Rattus norvegicus: one gene and its partners. The protein of the gene in region 3 binds, or shares a complex with, the protein of the main gene of each other region. Links are inferred from orthologs where the notes say so. Each region holds a gene or a part of one and is shown on either strand. Other genes may lie near its edges.

Region 1 (3,745 bases), on a different chromosome or scaffold from region 3:
TGTATAATTTGAATATACATACCCTACAATGGTTCATTGTAAAGAAAACTTTTTTAAAAGACTTATTATTTTACGTATATGAGCACACTGTAGCTGTCTTCAGATACACCAGACCCCATTACAGATAGTTATGAGCCACCAACATAGTTGCTCGGAATTGAACTCAGGACCTCTAGAAGAGCAGTTGGTGCTCTTAACCACTGAGCCATCTCTCCAGCCCATGGACTGATTTTTAACTGAAATATTTTATGCAGTTTACTACATTCTACAATGAATATTTTATATGCCTTAAAGTTATCCCTCCCAACAACAAAAACCATGTCACATTATATTATTTTTTTTCAGAGAATTTTTAAGTAAAAATGGGGTAGAAAAGATAAGATGGGGGAATCTCAAAACAAAAACCTCTTGGGGCTGAAGGTGGCTTAGTGGTTTTAGAGCATTTCTCTTAACAGAGGACCCAGGTTTGAACCCCAGCACCAAAAGGTGACTTAGAACCATTCTTAACTCTAGTCCCAAGGGATCCAATGCCCTCTTCTGGCAAATGGTGCATATACATGCCAACAAAATACTCATGCATATAAAAATAAGACCAAATTTAGACAGGAGAGAGGAGAGATTACTGCAGCAGGATGCAAGAAGACATCTACACAGAACTTTAATCTACTCACCAAATCTGACCTAAGATAAACTTATTAATTAAGATAAAGTTATTAATCTTATTATTTGGTAAAGCAAATGACAAAGCGAGATAGTACAACTCAGAAGTTAAACACAATAAAGTCCTTCGCAAGTCTGGGTGTGCTGGCCCGGGCGTTTAAACCCAAGCACCTGGAGAGCAGAGGCAGGCAGATCTGAGTTGGAGGTTACCTGGTCTACAGAGAAGCCCTGTCTCAAAAACAAAAACCCCATAAGTAAATGTACAAAGTAAACGAGTAACATAAAACATAGGTCTATCGAATCCTTTTAGCTCTAGAAAGCCCATTTAATTTTAAATATCCCTGCTAATTAAGTCCAAATAGATACATACAGTCCTTCAGGTTCCAAATCTTATCCAAGGATAATACTAATATTCCCATCTATAAACTATCTAGGCATCTCAGTAAGAATTTTAAACCTCCTAAAGTGTATTCTAACCCCCATTCATAAATTCCCATCCCCAATAATGGCACCAAGGAACTGGGAAATCTAGTCCATTCCGCAAAGGTCTTTCACAGCTATCTCTTGTATCCTTAAACGTGTGCTGACATGATCCTTAGTGGCTTAGGGACTATATAATCCTCAAACTGTGTGCTGTACTGTTTTGTTTTACTTCGAGAATGAAAGGAGTGTGAATGCCCCCCCTAGAAATACCCACCATTTCTTTTACAGACCTAGAAAACTAAGAATTTATCCCCTGTCAAACTTTCCATCTCACATCTGCCCTGCTGTTTTGGCTCCAGATGTGTAATATTACTTGCTTTTCTCCAGCTCTTCTGTCACCTGCCACCACTAACTGGTATATCGAAATAGTTCTTTTTGCTTTGTTTTTCGAGGCACGGTTTCTCTGTGTAGTAGCCCTGGCACAAGAGATCCGACTACCTTCGACCACCAACCCCAGTGCTGGGACTGAATGAAGTCCTAAGCCACGGCTCCCGGCTCCGAATTTTGTGGGTTTTTTTTCTTGCCACCCTGAAAAAAAATGCTTTTCCTCATCCTCAGGTCACGTGGCTGGCCCTCTTTTCCTCCAGGTCAGTCTGGTCTCAGACGTAATTGATCTCGCTCCGCATCTCTGGAGAGGATACATTGTGCACCTCAAAGCCAGACTCGAGTACCCCCCAGACTCTGAGGCGCCGTCTCTGGCAACCGTTATCTAAAGCAGGGCGATCCCGTTGCGCGGTGTAATTCCGCCATCACTTACTAAATCATGCACACATTTTCCTACCACCTGCTCCTGACTCCGCTCCACCAATCCTTCCCCAGTAAACAGTGCGGTGCAGGAGGAACTGCAACGACGCCTCGTATCCCAAAGCAGATCACCCCTACCGGGTCTGGGGGTTCCGGATCAGAGAAGCGAGGACCCGACGCGCCGTGTGGCGTCGAACCGCCACCGCTACAGGCAACTCTGATTAAAGACTTCCGCTGCATGACTGACCGAGGAAGGGGCCTCCGAGAGCGGACAACCGGTGTGAGGAAAACCACCGCCTAGGGCTATCCGCTGCACCGCAGCGCGAGAACCCCACGGCCGGCGCGCCCACGGCCTGTGATCCGGGTACCCGCCGCGCTGCCCCTCCCCCCGTCCGCGCCTCACAACAAAGCCACCGCAGAGCCGCGGAGGCCGGCGTCGGCCCGCGACAACAAGCCCGCGTTAGGTCCGCCACGGTGCTTCCTTACCCTCCTCCGCTTCTCCGTGCCCGAGAGCACAACCTTCTTAGACGAGTTTGCAGCGCCAACCTTCCACAAAAACGGCGAAGGAACACACCTCACCCCGCATGGAAGCAGCGGCGAAATGGCTTCGACCGCGGGACCGAGGGGGCGGAGTCAGCGACTCACGCTTGCGCAGTAGGCCAACTCCCCAGCCAGCACGCCCGGAGGAGACGGAGCTACAGCCACTTCCGGGCGCCAAACCTGAGGTCGCGCGAGATCCACTGGCCTAGGCCTACAATTTCCTGTCAGTCGCTAAACGGCTTGATCTCAGGAAGTTATGTCTTTGTAGAGAAGGCTAGCCCACAACTTATCTCAGTCCTCTTGCCTCAACCTCTGAGAGCATAATTTAGAGACATGCCACCATGCATCTCCATTTTGATAGTTTTTTTTTCACACAAGGGCAGTTTAAAATATGCCAATGAAATGTATTTCCGGGTGCCATGAGTATGTTCAAATGTCTGAAATAGTTCTGCGTCTCCAAAATGCTGCAGGTCATGTGCGGCATGGTGACACTTGCCTTCAATCACAGCACCCAGGAAGCAGAGACTGGCCGACCTCCATTAAGTTCAAAACAGCCTGGTCTATGTGGCGAGTTTCAGGACAGCCAGGGCTACATAGTAAGACCCTGTCTAAAAAAACAAACAAAAGCCTTAGCGGTTAAAAGCACTTGTTGGGCTGGAGAGATGACTCAGGGTTAAGAGCGCTAACTGCTCTTCCAGAGGTCCATGTGGTTGCTGGGATTTGAACTCAGGACCTCTGGAAGGGCAGTCAGTGCTCTTAACCCTGAGCCATCTCTCCAGCCCCTAAAGTAAATCTTTTTAAAAAGGCACAAACATGGTAACAAGACATTCATAAAGTAAAATAAATCTAAAAGAATCAAGAGGACCCTGGTTTATTGCCAGGGGTGGTAGAATGTCATTAATCCCATTGTAGTGAAACCCAGTCTCCCGTTACCCCACAAAAAAAGAAAACCATAACTCAAGATGCTTCTCTCCCACTGCACTAAGGGAGGAGGGGAGCTCTTTAGTCTCCCCCCCTCGCCCCTCCCCTAGACAGGGTTTCTTTGTTTAGCTCTAACTGCCCGGGATTTGTAGACCAGGCTGTCCTGGAGACAGATCTGTCTGCCTCTGCCCCACCCTCTACCCCTAGGGCTGGAATGAAAGGTGTACTCCCAATTATCTCAAAATCCTGTTCTTTGTTTTAGCTTCAAGTGAGAAGCTAAATTGTGCTTAATTCTTGTTTCGAGGGGTGTTGTGTTTTTGAGGTACTGAGTAACCCAAGGTTTCCCTACTACTAAGCTACACTTCAAACCCAACATCCTCAACCTGTTTATCTGTTA
Region 2 (3,721 bases), on a different chromosome or scaffold from region 3:
ATGAGCTCTCACTCAGCTGTCTAAATGCACCCTCTACCTACAGGAGCAGTGACTAAGGACCCTTTGGTCCCCACATCCCTGGTCGGCGGTGGAGGAAGGGCAGGCCAGGCAGGCATGAGGCACAAACAGTCTTTATTGGGTTCACACCAAGAGTCCATTGGTCTTGAGGACCTCTGTGAACTTGCAGATTTTCTTCTCCACATTCTTTTCTGCCTGTTTCCTTAGCCTCTGTGGTTTGAAAAGACAAGTGTCAGAGATTTGTTGCTTTTGTCCCAGGGCCACCCTAACCCTGGAGTGCAGGTTCTATCCTCACCAAGAGCTGCTTCTTCTTCCGGTAATGGATCTTTGCCTTTTCCTTCCGTTTCTCCTCCAGAGTAGCTGTCACTGCCTGGTACTTCCACCCGACCTCATGAGCCAGACGCCCCAGGTAAGCAAACTGCAGGGGCACAAGGCTGTAAGGACATGGAATGTGCCCCAGCAGCAGAGTGAGCTGGAGGGCCTAAGGACCCTACTTCAAGGACTCATCCCAACATGGACGCTCTCCTGGCATCAGCTCAGCCTTTGGCATTATCGGCACTGTGGCATCCGAAGACCATCGTGAGAATATACCATCATCTGCCAGTCTTGAGGTCCCACAAGTTTATTCTGTAGCCTAGAGCTTACCTTTCTGGTAGGCTTCAGCCGCACAACCTTGAGGGCAGCAGGGACCACCATCCGCTTTTTCTGTTAGAAAAAAATAAGGGCTCAGAGACGTGTTGGGTGCACTTGGTAAGAAGGCTGATGGGTCAGGCGTCTCAGCCAGTGCAGTTTTCATGAGGCTCAAACAATGTAGGTAACAGAACATCACAGACGCTAGATGCAGAGAGGCTGTGAGGCTAGGCCTGCAAGGCTCACCTTGTCATAGGGTGGAGGGATCCCATCCAACACCTTGAGGCGTTCCAGGGCAGCCTGGCCTCTTTTGGTCTTGTGCGGCAGCATGCCTGTGGGTGTAACAGCAGCAGGCCTCATCAGAGGTGCTGAGAAACCCACCTGACCTCAGGAGCAGGGCATTAGGCCAGCCTCAGATGGTAGTGCATGTAGAGTCGTCTCATAGTCAGGCAACTCGAACATGAGTGGGAGACATCCTCATCACAAGCTGCCAGATGCTCCCCTGCTCTCCATGTCACCCATGGGACCAGCTTACCTCGCACAGTGCGCCAAAAAATGCGGCTTGGGGCTCGGAAGTGGTAGGGGCCTCGAGACGGGTTGGTGTTCATCCGCTTTCGGAGAAAGGCCAGATACTTTACTGTCAGAAGGAAAAGTATATGAGGCCTTTTGGGTCCAAAAAGCAACTAAGGACCTGCTTAGCCCCACCCAAGCCCACCACCCCAGCCCTAACTCACACTTGTTTCTGTAGAAATTTCCAGAAATGTTGATGCCCTCACAGCGTACAACCACCACCTTTCGGCCTAGAAAGCATGGGGTTGGAGACAGTCAGGAAAGTCACTGAACACCCAACAAAGCCACAGAGCACTCGTGGAATGCAGATCTGTTCCAAAATCATTTCTAAGCCATGAACCCCAAGTAAGCAGGGGCAGTAAGTCTCAGAGCGGTGCATGGGTTGATCTCACAGTCGTGAGACTCAAACGAAAGATGGTGATTATTGCTCATCACAGACTCTCAGGCAAATGTGGATGTTGAATGAAACTTACCCAGCAGTACCTGCTTGGCCACAATGGCCGCCAGGCGGCCCAGAAGATGGCCCCGGCCATCCAATACTAGAACCTGTGGAAAGAGGAAGGCTTAGTAGGCTTTCCCTACTCCAAGTTACCAACCCCTTCACAGTGCCTCTCCCCACAAGGATGCCTATAACCCAGATGAACCACGTGTCCCAAAGGTACATTATTATGTGCACACAACATGACTTTTTAAAATGGAACTTCATGTTACCCTACCAGGCCTCAAATTTCAGGATAGCTGGGATCCATGGGCACACTATGACCTACAAAGGGTCTAGACTTGGTTTCAGACTTTAGCCCATTGTTTAGTCCCACCAAATCCCCAGCTTTCTCACTAAGAGCAGACCTGTTGCTCTAAGCAGCACAAAACGAACCTGTAGTTAGCTAGACTACAATGGCTGTCCTGTCTGCAATTCTGAGCAGTGCAGAACAGTACAACCCAAACTACAAGAGAAAACCATTGCACACTACCGTTTACATTTTTAAAGTGAAAAACTGTCCCAAACAGCGTCATCTACTTCCTTAGCAACAACGTACCCTCAAGACATCTAAAAACAGCAGGAAAGGTGCAGTTCAACTCCTGTCAACCCTCAAAGTCATGAGGTTTCTCCCTCAGTCTGTTTTACAAGTCTGCTTCATCATTTCACCCCTTAATTCTGAACATTTAACACCCTCAAAAGGGCTACAAGCCCAAATATTAGATGTTACAAAAACCCTAAGTCATGCAAAACAGGAGCCTCCCACTAACAAAAGTACAATACCAGGCATGAGCAATTCCAAGGTCCCCACACCCCAATGCCGGAGATGAAACCTATAAAAGTTCTTTCCGGTGTTGGGAACCCGAGTCCCACTCCCGTCTTCCCCAGGAAAAACGCTAGGCTTTCATCGTCCCATACCTAAAGACTGCCGCGGCTGGTTATGCCCACGTTACACAACCCCCTCGCGTCAAAACGTTTGCTTAAGTCCCATCGCACAAGCAGAGTGGAGCAGTGGGCTCCCATTCGGCTCCCTCCTGGAACCCACCCCAACCCCACACCGCCCGGCGCGCAGAGTCCGAACCTGCCCCTCCGCCATCTTCGGCAGCCGCCTAGGAAAGGAAGAGGTCTTGGCGCAGGGTTTCTTATCCCTTGCTGCAGGGGCGGAGGAAGTGACGCAGATGGCTCGAACTGAAGGGTTTCTGTTTTCTCATTGATCGAAGCGGTGAGTGCGCGCACACCGGAGGCGGGCCACTTTCATATTGTCCAATCAGACTATCGCATGAGTTGGATCTTGGCGGCCATGACTGTGCGGGGCGAGAGGTCACGTGGTTCTCGAGGCGTCTTTAGCCGTACAAGGCCATCCAGCCGCTGCCGCCATATTTTGGAGGGATTGCACGTCTCGGTTCAGGTGTCCGTGATGTGGAGCGCCATTACTCCCATCAACGAATGACGGTTGCAGAACATGTGGTGGCCATAAGGGGGCGAGAATATGTCTTGGCCCGCCCTTCAGAGCTGCGTGTGTAACGGTCCCTCCCCTCAACCTCTTGGTGTGCTGAAAATTGCTGGCCTTTCCTGAGCCTAGGAGTTTCCTTCTGTCAGACAAGTCGGGGTAGTCTTCCTAGATGGAAGAGTATGAAGGAGAGAAGGCCTTTCAGGTTCCTGAGACGCAGATGCACTCACTTGCTGCTGTACCCAGCTGTGAATGTTGTCTGAGCTGCCCTCCCTGCTGTGCACCTATAACCGCCCACCACCAAAGGAAACAACAAAAAGGCAGTAGATTGTTCAGTATGAAAGACTCATTTTGTCCTGAAAAATCTCCCTAAACATCCCAGCCTGAGTCGGTTCCTCCAGGAGGTTCCAACACTGTTTTGCTTACTTGTTACACTTTGGTGCCATGATTTTGGGGAATTGGACTGCTTCTGCTTCACATCATAGTCCTATGGAGCATTCCCCCGTGCTGACCCTGGGCTGCTGAAGGCCTCAGAAAACAAATAGAACCTTTTGTTGTCCGTTCGGGTTTTTGAT
Region 3 (3,667 bases):
ATTAGTATGTTTATATCTAATAAATTTAAATGAACACATCAAAAATATTCATTTTTAATTCTTTCTACACTGACATTAAATTAACATACCTGAACATGAGAGAGATCACTGTCTTTGAACTGTTGAAGCACTGCCAATGCGCCGTCTTCATTGAACTCTTTTAAAGCTTCGATAGCTCTCTCATCTAAATCACTATGTGCAACTAGCCCTGGAGAAGAAAAAGTTTAGTGAGTTATCATCTTTTAAATTTTCTAAACTATTTCTTCAGAGTCCTGTATTTACCCATACAGGTACACATATGACAATGGTTCTACCTACCCTCCTTATCCTCCCCTCCTCTACATAATGAAACACCTACTTTAGCCATAAGTCCTCTCAACCACAGAAGGAGTCAACCTATTTTACATCCTGTTTTGTGTTCGAGTAGTCCTGAACACTCAATATTTCTACAGTAAATATATAAGCCTACAAATCCTAAAGTCAACCAACAAAACACCAAGCCTAACAACTGAACCTCTCCTCAATGTCAAGTACCACTAGAAAAAAGGAGCCACCACACCGAGAAAGACAAGAGAACTAGCCTAGAGTTACCAAGTTATTAAACAAGAATCATGCTATAAAAATACCTCAAAAAGTCACGTGGGCTGCTCTCAACATTCAGCAGCTGTTGCTACTATCATATACTTATCCATCAGGCCAGACAGCCTTCCCCTAGGGAGGTCTATCCCCTCATTTCATCCCTCCCTCTACACTCTACCTCAAACCTAAATTAACCAACTATCAGAACAAGGCCAAGCTCCAGTTCCCACGTTTATTGGAAACCACAAAAAGTTGCTATTTTAGCTCAAAGTCAGAAATCCAATAGAAAAATTTCATAATGTAATTTTGCAAGTGTTAGTTCTTACCTGCAACGTAAATTTCATCTAGTTTTTCAGCAACTTTCTGTGGTAAACCAGCATCAAGCAATGTCTGAAAATTTTCTGAATGGATAACTGCTGAAGTAGTATCCATGGGCTCTTCAGTACCATTTCCATTAACATGTTCTGTAGCCATGTTTCCAGAGATCTGTTCAAACGCAATAAGCAAAATTAAACTAGGATCTTCAAACAGAATAGAGGACAATGACAGTCCCAATCTTTACTTTCTCTTCCACTTGACTACAACCAGTCAGCCTGAGCCTCCCTTGAAAGAAACCTTAAAGTCACTATCGCCTGACAAGCCAGACTGTGGAGCCCGGGGTACAGAAGGACCGATTCACTATTTTCTTCCTGAGCACCACCCCTCACTTCACCTGCTAACTAACACTCACTGAGAAAAACCTTATTACAAATGAAGCCCAATCAGCACAGCGACCGGCCCAGCCTGCCACACGCAGCACTTCCAAAACGGAGAATAAGGTGTGTGAAGCAAGCAACGCTGGGCTTGTCTCTCTCCAAGGTAAACCAGAAAGTGCGCTTTTCCCGCCTGCCGCTTATAGATCAGTAACAACAGCCAGCGAAGAACAAAGCGCTCACACAAGCCACCTTCCCACCACCCAATTCCTCCACCCTTCACCCCCACACCCCAAAGCCCGCCCCCGACTCCGCACCCGGAGCGGCAGCAACGCCACTGCAGCCGCCAGGAGCCCATTAGAAACACGTGCTCTGCGCCTTCAAATGTCCTACAACTTCCTTCAACGGAAACCCACCGAGTACCAGGCCAAGACCGTCATGACCGCCTCCCAACATCAACCCGCAATCGGGGTCCGAGCCCCCCGAACACTGCAGCCGCACATCTCGCCCCTCAAAAGCGAGGCCGCGGCGGCGCCAGGCCACGGGCTCTCCCCGCCCCCCAGCGCCGCCGTCTCCGCCGTGACACATGGCTCTCCGCCCCGGGCGCTCCCGTGCGCCCGCGACCCCCAGCCTCCCGCACCCCTCGGTGCAGTGGCTGCGGCGCCGAGGCCGACAGCCCGCGCCGGGAGGGCGTTCCGCCGCCAAGCACACGCCCGCGGGAGCCGAGCACCGCCCAAGCCCGCCGGCCGGTCGCGGGACAGCACCCGCGCCTCTCCGCCCACTCCCGCGCCGCCGGCCACGACAGCACCAAGTCCGCCGCCGCTCGCGATCCGCTCGGGCCACGGGGCTGCCGAGGCGCCTCCTCCCGGAGCGCCGCAGACAAAGCCCAGACCCGGCAGCACATGGAGAGGAGGAAGTGGCGGCGCGACCGCGGCCTACTCTCTCGCAGCCCCGGCCAACGTGCTCTTCTCCCCCTTGGAATCCATTTTCCAGAAAAGCCGGTTTCTCCCCGCGCCGCCCTCCCCCAAGCACCCTCCAAAATGTCACGGAGCTCCCCCCTCCCCAACACCCGTGTGCCGGCCGTCGTTACCTCCCCGCGGGGCTGGGGCCGAGGAATCCTGTCCGACCGGGTCGGGTGGCGGGGAACGCGTGCTCGCTGCTCCCTGTGTCCGGCGCGAGTGGAGCTGTTGTAAAATGGCGGCCGAAGCTCACGCCGCTGGCAGCAAACCCGATCCAGTTCCACTCGCCTCCGAGCGCGCTCCCAGTGCGCGCGCGCGCCCCCGCGTGACCCCCCTTCCCTCCCCTCCCTGGCGCGTCCGCTTCTCTCACTCACTCCCTCAGCCCCTGCCCTCCTACAGCTCCTCCTTCTCCCCTTGCCACCTCTGCCGGCCGTGGGCCGCCCTGTCCTCTCGGTCTTCGTCCTTCCTTCCCTGCACCTCCTCCCCCAGCTTTCCCACTCCCGTCCGCGGCCGCTCAAGCACGAGTGGCCGCCCTTCTCCTCGCTGGCTCTCTGGCTCACGCCCTCCCTCGCTAGCTCTCTCGGCCCGTCCCCAGTCCCTGCCGAGTCGCTCTTTCTCTCTCCCGCGCTGACGTGACGACGCAGCCGACGCCTCAGGACGCGCGCCCGTGGGCCCCGCCTCTCGCCCCGCCCCTAGGTGCTGGTAGGGGGGGGAGAGACCCCGCCCTTCCGCCGCGGCGACCGTGAGGGGCCGAGTGAATGGGAGACCCGCCCTCTGTGCGGACACTCCCTCGCGCTCCGCGGGCGGGGCTGCCGGCTGGCTGTGTGTCCCACTCCTTCTTTGTCAGGAGACAAGCATCTCCCCACCCCGTCCTCCCCGCCCCCACCTCCCCACGGCGAGTCGGGGCTCCGAGGGTGCCCGGCGCTGGCTGACCGCTCTGCCCAGGCTGCCACCGCCGCCCCGCGCCCTGGGCGCTCGAGAAGCTGCAGGCGCACGTGTCCCCCGGGGCGGGGCGAGGCGAGGCAGACAATGGGGCTGCGGGGGAGGGGAGCTGCACGGGGGATGGCGGAACTCGGGGCCACCGGGTGGCGGGGCTCGAGTTCGGGAGTCACCCCGGGGAGCCCCGGCTTCCGCCGCTGGACAATGGGGCATCCCGCGGCCCGGCGCGCGCCGTCCTCGGCTTCCACGAATACCCTGGGCAAAGGGAGGGGCGCCGCGGGTTCGCGAGGAAATCCCAGTTCCTCCCACCCGGGGATGACACCGAGGCCAGATTTGGAAGCTTAACCGGCCCGGTGGTGTTGGATTGTGCAATATTCCGTTTCTGTCCCTGGCCTTTTAAGCGGTTAAGTGCTCCTCCTGGCACACTTTGAACAACTTGAAGCAGCAGAAAGCTGCGTGATTAGGACAACTATGAGGAAAATGTGTTTCTTTTCAAGC

The links. The genes of interacting proteins can lie anywhere in the genome.
Region 1: Syncrip (region 3) and Dhx9 share a complex: the UniProt entries of both Homo sapiens proteins name them as parts of the coding region determinant (CRD)-mediated complex. The link is inferred for Rattus norvegicus from reciprocal best matches to the Homo sapiens genes SYNCRIP and DHX9.
Region 2: Syncrip (region 3) and Rpl13a share a complex: the UniProt entries of both Homo sapiens proteins name them as parts of the GAIT complex. The link is inferred for Rattus norvegicus from reciprocal best matches to the Homo sapiens genes SYNCRIP and RPL13A.

What each region holds. Positions count from the first base shown.
Region 1 is NC_086031.1:68,187,054-68,190,798, forward strand, and holds the start of Dhx9 (ATP-dependent RNA helicase A), read right to left. Parts: upstream 2,494-3,745; 5' UTR 2,374-2,493; intron 1-2,373. UniProt on the Homo sapiens protein: Multifunctional ATP-dependent nucleic acid helicase that unwinds DNA and RNA in a 3' to 5' direction and that plays important roles in many processes, such as DNA replication, transcriptional activation, post-transcriptional RNA regulation, mRNA translation and RNA-mediated gene silencing.
Region 2 is NC_086019.1:104,746,108-104,749,828, forward strand, and holds Rpl13a (large ribosomal subunit protein uL13), read right to left. Parts: upstream 2,807-3,721; 5' UTR 2,793-2,806; coding exon 2,778-2,792; intron 1,765-2,777; coding exon 1,692-1,764; intron 1,661-1,691; exon of another isoform or gene 1,578-1,660; intron 1,449-1,577; coding exon 1,383-1,448; intron 1,286-1,382; coding exon 1,184-1,285; intron 1,140-1,183; exon of another isoform or gene 1,055-1,139; intron 981-1,054; coding exon 895-980; intron 855-894; exon of another isoform or gene 788-854; intron 724-787; coding exon 664-723; intron 621-663; exon of another isoform or gene 541-620; intron 453-540; exon of another isoform or gene 437-452; coding exon 314-436; intron 229-313; coding exon 142-228; 3' UTR 116-141; downstream 1-115. UniProt on the Homo sapiens protein: Associated with ribosomes but is not required for canonical ribosome function and has extra-ribosomal functions.
Region 3 is NC_086026.1:98,312,519-98,316,185, forward strand, and holds the start of Syncrip (heterogeneous nuclear ribonucleoprotein Q), read right to left. Parts: upstream 2,869-3,667; 5' UTR 2,362-2,868; intron 1,066-2,361; 5' UTR 1,054-1,065; coding exon 906-1,053; intron 209-905; coding exon 90-208; intron 1-89. UniProt on the Homo sapiens protein: Heterogenous nuclear ribonucleoprotein (hnRNP) implicated in mRNA processing mechanisms. Component of the CRD-mediated complex that promotes MYC mRNA stability.